Linked DNA regions of Xenopus tropicalis. The protein of the gene in region 1 interacts with the protein of each later gene in a pairwise test. Links are inferred from orthologs where the notes say so. Each region holds a gene or a part of one and is shown in the gene's direction. Other genes may lie near its edges.

Region 1 (2,346 bases):
GTATAGTAGGGAGAGATGGTGCCTATAGTAGCAGTGGGATAATAGCCTATGGGAAGGGACTGGGGCTGTGGGATAGCAGGTATAGTAGGGAGAGATGGTGCCTATAGTAGCAGTGGGATAATAGCCTCTGGGAAGGGACTGGGGCTGTGGGATAGCAGGTATAGTAGGGAGAGATGGTGCCTATAGTAGCAGTGGGGGGGATAATAGCCTCTGGGAAGGGACTGGGGCTGTGGGATAGCAGGTATAGTAGGGAGAGATGGTGCCTATAGTAGCAGTGGGGGGTATAATAGCCTCTGGGAAGGGACTGGGCTGTGGGATAGCAGGTATAGTAGGGAGAGATGGTGCCTATAGTAGCAGTGGGGGGATAATAGCCTCTGGGAAGGGACTGGGGCTGTGGGATAGCAGGTATAGTAGGGAGAGATGGTGCCTATAGTAGCAGTGGGATAATAGCCCTCTGGGAAGGGACTGGGGCTGTGGGATAGCAGGTATAGTAGGGAGAGATGGTGCCTATAGTAGCAGTGGGATAATAGCCTCTGGGAAGGGACTGGGGCTGTGGGATAGCAGGTATAGTAGGGAGAGATGGTGCCTATAGTAGCAGTGGGATAATAGCCTCTGGGAAGGGACTGGGGCTGTGGGATAGCAGGTATAGTAGGGAGAGATGGTGCCTATAGTAGCAGTGGGGGGATAATAGCCTCTGGGAAGGGACTGGGGCTGTGGGATAGCAGGTATAGTAGGGAGAGATGGTGCCTATAGTAGCAGTGGGGGATAATAGCCTCTGGGAAGGGACTGGGGCTGTGGGATAGCAGGTATAGTAGGGAGAGATGGTGCCTATAGTAGCAGTGGGGGGGATAATAGCCTCTGGGAAGGGACTGGGGCTGTGGGATAGCAGGTATAGTAGGGAGAGATGGTGTCTATAGTAGCAGTGGGGGGATAATAGCCTCTGGGAAGGGACTGGGGCTGTGGGATAGCAGGTATAGTAGGGAGAGATGGTGCCTATAGTAGCAGTGGGATAATAGCCTCTGGGAAGGGACTGGGGCTGTGGGATAGCAGGTATAGTAGGGAGAGATGGTGCCTATAGTAGCAGTGGGGGGATAATAGCCTCTGGGAAGGGACTGGGGCTGTGGGATAGCAGGTCTAGTAGGGAGAGATGGTGCCTATAGTAGCAGTGGGAATAGTAGACCAGTAGGAAACTTTGCTCCATGTATTATGACCCCCTGTAACTCCCCCCTGTACCCCCATAGGATGGGCAGAATAGTGGGGACCCCGGGGAGTACAACCTGCGCTCTCGCACCATCGTTTGCACCAGCTGTGGGCGCCCGGCTGAGAAGGGGGTTCTAGGCTCCCAGGGTTCTGGTTTGGCCACGGCCTCGACCGGTTCCTCATCCTCCAGCGTCACCCTGACCCGGACCTACCGCAGCACCGGGGGAACCAGCGGGGGCAGTGCCCTCGGGGAGAGTCTGGTCACCAGGACCTACATTGTCGGGAACGACAGCCAGCGTGCCCAGGTGGGTAACAGTCGGGGGTATCTGGAACAGAACCTGCAGAACCTCCAGAACTCTGGTGTAAAGGCCAATTAATAATAATAATAATAATAAGGCTGCACGTCTCCATTTGCCCACTAGGTGGCAGTAGCTGCATACACTAAATCCCTGTGATTGTATTCACCTAATGCAATGCTGTCTCTCTGTCGCCACCTACAGGTCACCCCGCAGAGCTGCAGCATAATGTAATCCGCTGCCCGACGCCGCCGTCACCAAGTGCCCAAGTGCCCGAGCGAAACAGAGAGATTTTGGTTTTTTTATGAAAATTTTGTTTTTATTTTATACTGCGAGAATTTTATAAAGAAAAAAAAAATGCACATTTTTTTAAAGGCAACATTTACCTGTATCTGCAGAAACCAAAGTTAATTCTGATCTGCCCCCCCCCCCACATATAATGGATGGTTCTGGGGTGCAGAGGGACTGGGGCATTACTAATACTGGGGGGGCAATTGTTGCACTAAAGCCCCTATATACTCCCTTCTGGCTCGGGAAGCGCTGCCACTTCCCACAGGGAATTCTGGGATTTGTAGTTCAGACAGTCTGGGGGGAGGGGGGCGAATGCCTCTGTTTGATGCCAAAGACGTAAATTGATTCAGTTTTCTAATAGAGCAGAACCAACGGTGCAGGGAGTTGTATTTGGTTTGTTGCAGTTGCCCCTCAGTGGGGTAGTTACTGTAGGAAGTATTTCTGAGTGACCACTAGCTGTTTGCACCACTGGGGTTTTATTCTTTGCTGGGTGGGGGGCAATGTCCAGGGGGTAGGGGCAATATCTAGGGGGTGGGGGGCAATATCCAGGGGGTAGGGG
Region 2 (4,214 bases), on another chromosome or scaffold:
CATGTTGGCAGCTAAGTAGAATGGGACACTATGATTTCTGATACCAGCACTGAGTTGAAGTTTAAATAGGGTAACTCAGCAACAATCTACAGGGAACCAAACTACATCTACATTTACACACAGTGGCAGTAACATACAAAGCCACATGTGCCTCGATCTTGGTTGAATAAGGCCTTGGCTTCGAGGAGCCTGAGGCTACCTCACATTTCACCCCCCCATGTTAATCCGATCCTGACTGGCTATGTATGGATATGTATGACAGCTGATGGATTTACAGAACTGACTATAATAACCAACGCCTGCTGTTTTTCAAATGATGCAGAGAGAATTCCTTACTCATGTGCCTGGGGGTCTCGCTGCATTCCTCCAACGCTTGTCTCATACACATTCCCACGCAGCTCCCAGTCACTTGCACCAACACACACTCTATGGCTCCTGGCACAAGGGGGGGCGCTGCTGCCAGATGGCAGGGGCCTATGAATGGGCTGATTATATTTATATTATATAAATGGAAGGCTTACTCTAGCTTATAAATATATACACACACTGCATTTGGCTGGTAATATGCCAGCAGCTAACAAATGCCCCTCCCAGAAGAATAATTACACACAGGACTAATGCCACAGTCCAGCTGTCTCATCCCTGCCAGGCAGCGGCCAGCTGTCTCACAAAAGCTGGTAAAAGCAGAGCATGCTGGGAAGTCATCCAAAGCAGGGATAGTGGGTGCAGGGCAATGACTCCTGGCAGGGGTGGGAGAAAGTGCCAAAGAGCCGGTGGGCACTGTTTGTATTGCCCATCTGGTTGCACAGATGGCAGTTTGATTTGAAGACTGTAGTTGGAAAACCCTTGGGGGGTAGCAGGTTGTTTCCCCTGCATTAAAGGACAAGTAAAGGCATAGGGCTATTTTGCAGCTTCTCACATGGCTTTATTTGCCCTATAAATCACCCACAGCCTTATTATCTTGTGATCATTTATCAGACAGCGGCCACTGTATATCACCTTCCTCTACACAGAGATCCTCCTTTATATTATTATTTCCGTGTGTGGGAGCTGCCATACCTACCCCCCTGCAAAGGCAAAACAAGGGACCAGTAGACGCCCCACAAGCAACGGCGCCCTCTAGTGGTCACATTATCACCGCAGTTTTTTTGTAATCAAAGTATCAGTTAGAGAAGGGGGAAATGAGAGAGAAAGAGAGAACTGCCCCCCCCAGATGTTGGCTGTTTATTTGCCCCCCCATTAGGGCACAAAGTGGTTGTCAGGCCAATTCACTGTCCCTGGGTCTGTAGCCCTGTCCCTTCCCCGCTCCTAGCGTCCCTCTGCCCCCCCCCCCCCTCCCCGCTGCAGTTGGGGTATGGCTGAGCCTGCGGTGATGTAGGAAGGAATGCGCCCCCCCCGCCCCTTCCATCCCTCCATTCCCTCTGCGCGTCAGTGGGATGTGTTGTCTCTCCCGGGCTGCTCCATCCCCCCTGCCAACCTGCAGTCTCCGTGCCCTGGCAGTGCCCTGTGCCACCTTCCTCCCTCCGAGCCGCTCTCCGTGATGTGACTGTTCCTCCCCCCCCCCGCATCTCTCAGCCTGGTCCTCCCCCTCCTCCCCTGTCTCCGCAGTGCTCAGAGCAGCCATGAACCCCTTACTAACCCCCAACCTGCTCCTGCTCCCCTCTGATGCCCCCCTGCAGCCGGCGGAGAGCCCCACATCTCCCCCCCAGGGCTCCCTGCTGCTGGGGGGCCCCTATGCTCCCACCGGGGGGGCCAGCGCTTTACGCAATGACTTTGGCTCCAACATCAATGTCCTGAAGACCCTGAACCTCCGGTTCCGCTGCTTTCTGGCCAAGGTGCATGAGCTGGAACGGAGGAACCGCTCCCTGGAGAGGGCGCTGGAGAGGGCCCAGGGGGCCGGCCCCATAACCCGGGAGCAGGCGGTACAGACCGGCTTTGTGGGGCCCATCTTGCCTCCGCCATTATTGGGGCTCACTCGGCCCTGCCCGGCGCCTCCCCCCCAGCCCTGGGTGTATGGGGCCCACAGGCTGGGCACCCGGTGTGATGTGGCCACGGTCAGCGGAGCCTATTGGGGTCACTCAGACGGAGTTGGGGTTCAGATTGACACCATCACCCCAGAGATCCGGGCTCTCTATAATGTGCTGGGCAAGGTGAAGCGGGAGCGGGACGCCTACAAGCAGAGGTAGGACATATACACACTATATACAGTATATATACAGCTGCCAGCTGGGGATATTGGCCTGCCACTTAGCTACAGATGTTGCTGAACTAAAGCTGCCACTAGGCCTGGGGCACAGGGGAACTTTCTAGGATTAAAGGGGAACTAAACTTTGATATATTGTGTTGTGTACCCAATGCAGAATGGTGCATTTCTGCTGCCCTATCTCTAAGGCTTCATTAACTGCCCCTAGACATTAACTGCCCCTAGACCCCAATGGAACCTGTGTGGGAGCTGCCCTATCTCTAAGATGCCATTAGGCTTCATTAACTGCCCCTATACCCCAATGACACCTGTGTGGGAGCTGCCCTATCTCTAAGATGCCATTAGGCTTCATTAACTGCCCCTATACCCCAATGACACCTGTGTGGGAGCTGCCCTATCTCTAAGATGCCATTAGGCTTCATTAACTGCCCCTATACCCCAATGACACCTGTGTGGGAGCTGCCCTATCTCTAAGATGCCATTAGGCTTCATTAACTGCCCCTAGACCCCAATGATACCTGTTTGGGAGCTGCCCTATCTCTAAGGCTTCATTAACTAACCCCTAGACATTAACTGCCCCTAGACCCCAATGATACCTGTGTGGGAGCTGCCCTATCTCTAAGCTGCCATTAGGCTTCATTAATTGCCCCTAGACCCCAATGACACCTGTGTGGGAGCTGCCCTATCTCTAAGATGCCATTAGGCTTCATTAACTGCCCCTATACCCCAATGACACCTGTGTGGGAGCTGCCCTATCTCTAAGATGCCATTAGGCTTCATTAACTGCCCCTATACCCCAATGACACCTGTGTGGGAGCTGCCCTATCTCTAAGATGCCATTAGGCTTCATTAACTGCCCCTATACCCCAATGACACCTGTGTGGGAGCTGCCCTATCTCTAAGATGCCATTAGGCTTCATTAACTGCCCCTAGACCCCAATGATACCTGTTTGGGAGCTGCCCTATCTCTAAGGCTTCATTAACTAACCCCTAGACATTAACTGCCCCTAGACCCCAATGATACCTGTGTGGGAGCTGCCCTATCTCTAAGCTGCCATTAGGCTTCATTAATTGCCCCTAGACCCCAATGACACCTGTGTGGGAGCTGCCCTATCTCTAAGATGCCATTAGGCTTCATTAACTGCCCCTATACCCCAATGACACCTGTGTGGGAGCTGCCCTATCTCTAAGATGCCATTAGGCTTCATTAACTGCCCCTATACCCCAATGATACCTGTGTGGGAGCTGCCCTACTGACATGATGGTGGGACTCTCTAACCTCACTATGTTAGTGGAGCTCAGATCCAGACTACAAACAAACATGAAGATGGTCCCACAGTGCACTTGGCACTAAATATACAAAAATGATGATGAGGATGAGTAACAAAAAGCTTTACAAAGTAATGGGACAGGCCGGCAACAAGAACAGAAGCCCAAGTGGATCTCTTGGTCTCTATTTAAATGGCACCCCATGGGGCATACAGGTATGGGACCTGTTATCCAGAATGCTCGGGACCTGGGGTATTTCAGATAAGGGATTTGGATCTCCATAACTTAAGTCTGCTAAAAATTATTTAAATATTAAATAAACCCAATAGCTTTGTTTTGCCCCCAATAAGGGGTAATTATATCTTAGTTGGGATCAAGTACAGGTACTGTTTTATTATTACAGAGAAAAGGGAATCATTTAACCATTAAATAAACCCAATAGGGCTGTTCTGCCCCCAATAAGGGGTAATTATATCTTAGTTGGGATCAAGTACAGGTACTGTTTTATTATTACAGAGAAAAGGGAATCATTTAACCATTAAATAAACCCAATAGGGCTGTTCTGCCCCCAATAAGGGGTAATTATATCTTAGTTGGGATCAAGTACAGGTACTGTTTTATTATTACAGAGAAAAGGGAATCATTTAACCATTAAATAAACCCAATAGGGCTGTTCTGCCCCCAATAAGGGGTAATTATATCTTGGTTGGGATCAAGTACAGGTACTGTTTTATTATTACAG
Region 3 (4,162 bases), on another chromosome or scaffold:
ATTATGCTTTGTATAAAACGGCGAGAAAATTCGCCACACATCGGCAGGCTTCGCTGTGTAGAAACAGCGTAAAAATGGTGGTAATTTTTTACGCGTTTTTTCTTCCCCTGGAACTTATGGAAAATAACGGCGTAATATCCGGCGTTCAGGCGGCGATCTTTTCCATTTATATTACACAGCTTTTTATATAAATATATATAAATATGCCCCTTAGTGTGATTTAGGGGGGCAGCTAAAGCCACTCAAAAATAAGTTCTCATTTCTGTAGGAGTATTTCCCGTGTCAGTGTTAATAACCCCCATATGTAAACAACCAAACACACCAAAGCACAAAGTTCACCCATATCCAGTCACCCACAGCAACTCAGCCATGCCTTTACACACCTGACCAGTCATGCTCCCTGCTGAGCCTATAAGCGATTAGACAGTAGCAGACCGGTCCCATACGTTTAAAAATGGCTTAAGGTGGCCATACACGAACAGATCCGCTCGCTTGGCGATGTCGCCAAGCGAGCGGATCTTCACCCGATATCCCCAACTACAGGTGGGCGATATCGGGGAGAATTTAGGTAAAAAAAAGAATAATCCGATCGTTTGGCCCTGGGGTCTGGGGGGATTATGTGGGCTGCAATGGGGCATCAACGAGCCGATGCGGTCCCCGATCCGACCGGATTTTCTAACCTGGCCGATCAAGATCTGGCCAATTTCAGGTCAGATATCGGTCGGCCAGGCCGCTCTGCTCTCCCCATACATGGGCCGATTAGCTGCCGAATCGGTCCAAGGGACCAATATCGGCAGCTATAGTCGGCCCATGTATGGGGACCATAAGACAAGACCCTAAACCAGGGATCCCCAAGCTTTCTTACCCATGAGCCACAGTCAAATGTAAAAAGACTTGGGGAGCAACACAAGCACCATAAAAGTTCATGGAGTTGCCAAATAAGGGCTGTGATTGGCTATTAGGGGCCTCTATGCACACTATCAGCTTACAGGGGCTTTATTTGGTAGGAAATCTTGTTTTTATTCAACCAAAACTTGCCCCCAAGTCAGGAATTCAAAAATAACTCCCTGGTTTGGGGGCACTGAGAGCAACATCCAAAGGGTTGGGGAGCAACATGTTGCCCCTGAGCCACTGGTTGGGGATCACTGCCCTAAACAATAGGTGACACCATAATTTAAAACAAACTATCGCACAGTTGTCAGAAGCAACAAATGAGAGGCAGTACTGCGTTACGGGTTAACAACATCACGTGATCAGCCGACTCCGCCCCCTCCGCCTCAGGTGATGAGGCTGATTAACGTCAGACGGGGCGTGGCTGCGCAGTGCGGCTCCGTCTCCCGGACAGACTAAAAGCTGCTGCTGTCGCCATGTCCGAGAACAATAACAACAACGGGGAGGAGGCCGCGCTGCACGGTAAGAAGCACATTGTGTAACTAGGACCTCGTTTCGATTCCAGCGCCCGTCAATTGGGTCGAACGGCGAGAATTTGAACGAGCTCAGGACAATGTTTGGGTGCGAAGCTTAGGCGGGATCCCATGATGGGCAGCTGTGGGAGCCAATCGATAATGAGTGTAGGCGGGACTGGAACTTGGAATGACGGATGCGGTCCAATGGGAGATTTAGGTGTAGGTAAGGGCGGAGCTTACATGGACTAGACTAGAGGGAGAAGCGGCGCTGCATTGTTGTTGTGGGTTACTGTACTTTATTCATATCAAAGAGCTTGATAGTGTGATGGTTTCGCTATTAGTGCTTCATACATGTGCCCAGTCATGTGGCTGCCAGTGCCGAGGCACACTTACACGGGTGGGTGTGTGGGAATGATGACGTGTGTGTTTATGTACGGGCCAGCCTATAGCTTCATGTACACTCACTGTCATCGCCAAACACTTGCCATCTGTTATTTACTTTAAATATATGTTACTATGTATCTTTCAGATCATGTTTAATATATATTTCTAATACACAGGAGCCTTGGCTGTTCTGTACCTTGTATCCTTAGAAATGCTCCTTAATGATGTCATCTTTCACATGACTTGCTGAAATGTGTTTATTATAAGAAATAATATACCCCCTGTTGTCAAATATAAGGATATTAGAAGTCACCTCTGCCTCATTCACTTCTAATATGCTGTATTTTGTTGCCCCACAAGTCTTTTTATATTTGAATGTGGCTCAAAGGCCGGTAAGTTTGGGGACCTCAGCCTTAGACTGATGACTAAAGGTGGCCATACAAGCGAGCGGATCTCCCAAATTTGGTGAATTTAGGCTAATTTGGTCGTTTGGCCCTGGGGCCAAACAATCGAATTAGAGCGCCGGTAATAGGCACAGTTGGTTCGGGGACCGCATCAACGAGCCGATGTGGTCCCCGATCCTACTAAATTTTTTAACCTGCCCAATTTCAGGCCAGATATCGGTCGGGCAGGCCTGTTGTTAGGGCCACTACACAGGCCAATAAGGTACAAAATCGCTCTAAGGGGCCGATATCGGCAGCTGCAATCAGCCCGTGTATGGCCACCTTTAGAGAGGTATGTGTGTGTGTGTTTTATAATGCATACAATTGCATGGTAGCAAGACTTTTGGCATGTTGTTAGTCATGTAATCCTTTGGACACTCCCGGCCAAGAGACGGCATGCCAGGGCTAGCCCTATGAAAAATATTCCAAATAAGACATTTTACTGTAGCACTCTGTATTATGACTGCCTAATTGCAGGAGAGTGAGATTATAATAAATCTGGTAGTCATAGCCAGTGATATTGGTTTATATTGGGACAATGTTGGTGTTATACATGTACAGGTATGGGACCTGTTATCCAGAATGCTCTGGACCTGAGGTTTTCTGGATAAGGGATCTTTCAGTAATTTGGATCTCCATAACTTGTCTGCTAAAAATCATTTAAATATTAAATAAACCCAATAGGCTTGTTTTGCCCCCAATAAGGATTAATTATATCTTAGTTGGGATCAAGTACAGGTACTGTTTTATTATTACAGAGAAAAGGGAATCATTTAACCATTAAATAAATCCAATAGGGCTGTTCTGCCCCCAATAAGGGGTAATTATATCTTAGTTGGGATCAAGAACAAGGTTCTGTTTTATTATTATTATAGAAAAAAAGGAATCATTTTTAAATGTCAGAATTATTTGCTTATAATGGAGTCTATGGGAGACGGCCTTTCCGATAATGGGTTTCCGGATAAGGAAAGCCATACCTGTACCTGGCAGTTCATTGTTTTCTCTAGCTAGCCCAGGTTCTGTTTATTTGTTTTTTATATGGTTATGTAACATGGCCAAACGTGTGTCAGTCACTACATCATCTTTAGGGAAAAATATATACTATTTCTATGAATCCATTCACTGCAGCTGTAATGTCCCATAACTGTTTTTCTTTCTGAATTTAAGCTTCATCTTATTGGTAATAGAAAGTAGTCGTTTAGGAGAAAGTTTTGGTCTCATGAAATGAGGCTTCTGTTGCATTTATGCCTTTGTGATAGTTCCCCTTTCAGGCTTCTCTTTGTTATGTTTACATGCCTAACTGTCAGAGGAAGCATTTGAATATGTATTGCGCTGTGTTTGCCAGAAATCTGGTGATGTTGATGTTGGACGCTGAGACAGCGGGGTAGGTGTGTGGCATATGTTTCATTGTAGCTGCACCTTTGGGGACACTATCATAAGATCATAAGTGTTTACACCGTTCGAGTAACCCATAGTAACCAACCAAGTGGTTTTGAGTTTAAAGTGGGTGGCTAGTAAATACTACTTATTGATTTCTGTGGGTTTCTAGACCTTCATTGCTTGTGAGGAATGGTCAGACAATACCTAAGTGACCCACACTTTCACTGTGAAGTTCTTATTTACCTTACAGCACTTATATTCTCCTATTTGTGTCTGTAAGTTACCCTCCCATTTAGACTGTAAGCTCTGCGGGGCAGGGACCTCCATCCTCTTGTCTTTTTGATTTATTACAACTGTACCTTGTATTTATTGTTCTTTGTATTTATCGATTATTATTTTAATAACCCCCCTGTTGCATTAATCTATTGTTCTACTGTACAGTGCTGGGTACATAAGTAGCACTTCAGAAATAAAGATATAGATACATATTGACCCGCCATTTGCCTATGGGGTGATTGGATCATGATCACACTGGGTTGGTGTGTGTGA

What was found. The genes of interacting proteins can lie anywhere in the genome.
Region 2: the proteins of lmna (region 1) and iffo1 interact in binary tests that used the Homo sapiens proteins (3 or more experiments, as listed by UniProt). The link is inferred for Xenopus tropicalis from reciprocal best matches to the Homo sapiens genes LMNA and IFFO1.
Region 3: the proteins of lmna (region 1) and bnip3l interact in a two-hybrid assay, tested with the Homo sapiens proteins (2 studies listed by BioGRID and IntAct). The link is inferred for Xenopus tropicalis from reciprocal best matches to the Homo sapiens genes LMNA and BNIP3L.

The regions. Positions count from the first base shown.
Region 1 is NC_030684.2:142,913,673-142,916,018, reverse strand, and holds the end of lmna (lamin), read left to right. Parts: intron 1-1,241; coding exon 1,242-1,505; intron 1,506-1,700; coding exon 1,701-1,730; 3' UTR 1,731-1,843; downstream 1,844-2,346.
Region 2 is NC_030683.2:10,038,211-10,042,424, reverse strand, and holds the start of iffo1 (intermediate filament family orphan 1), read left to right. Parts: upstream 1-1,411; 5' UTR 1,412-1,622; coding exon 1,623-2,182; intron 2,183-4,214. UniProt on the Homo sapiens protein: Nuclear matrix protein involved in the immobilization of broken DNA ends and the suppression of chromosome translocation during DNA double-strand breaks (DSBs).
Region 3 is NC_030679.2:127,988,476-127,992,637, forward strand, and holds the start of bnip3l (BCL2/adenovirus E1B 19 kDa protein-interacting protein 3-like), read left to right. Parts: upstream 1-1,359; 5' UTR 1,360-1,367; coding exon 1,368-1,413; intron 1,414-1,454; exon of another isoform or gene 1,455-1,535; coding exon of another isoform or gene 1,536-1,629; intron 1,630-4,162.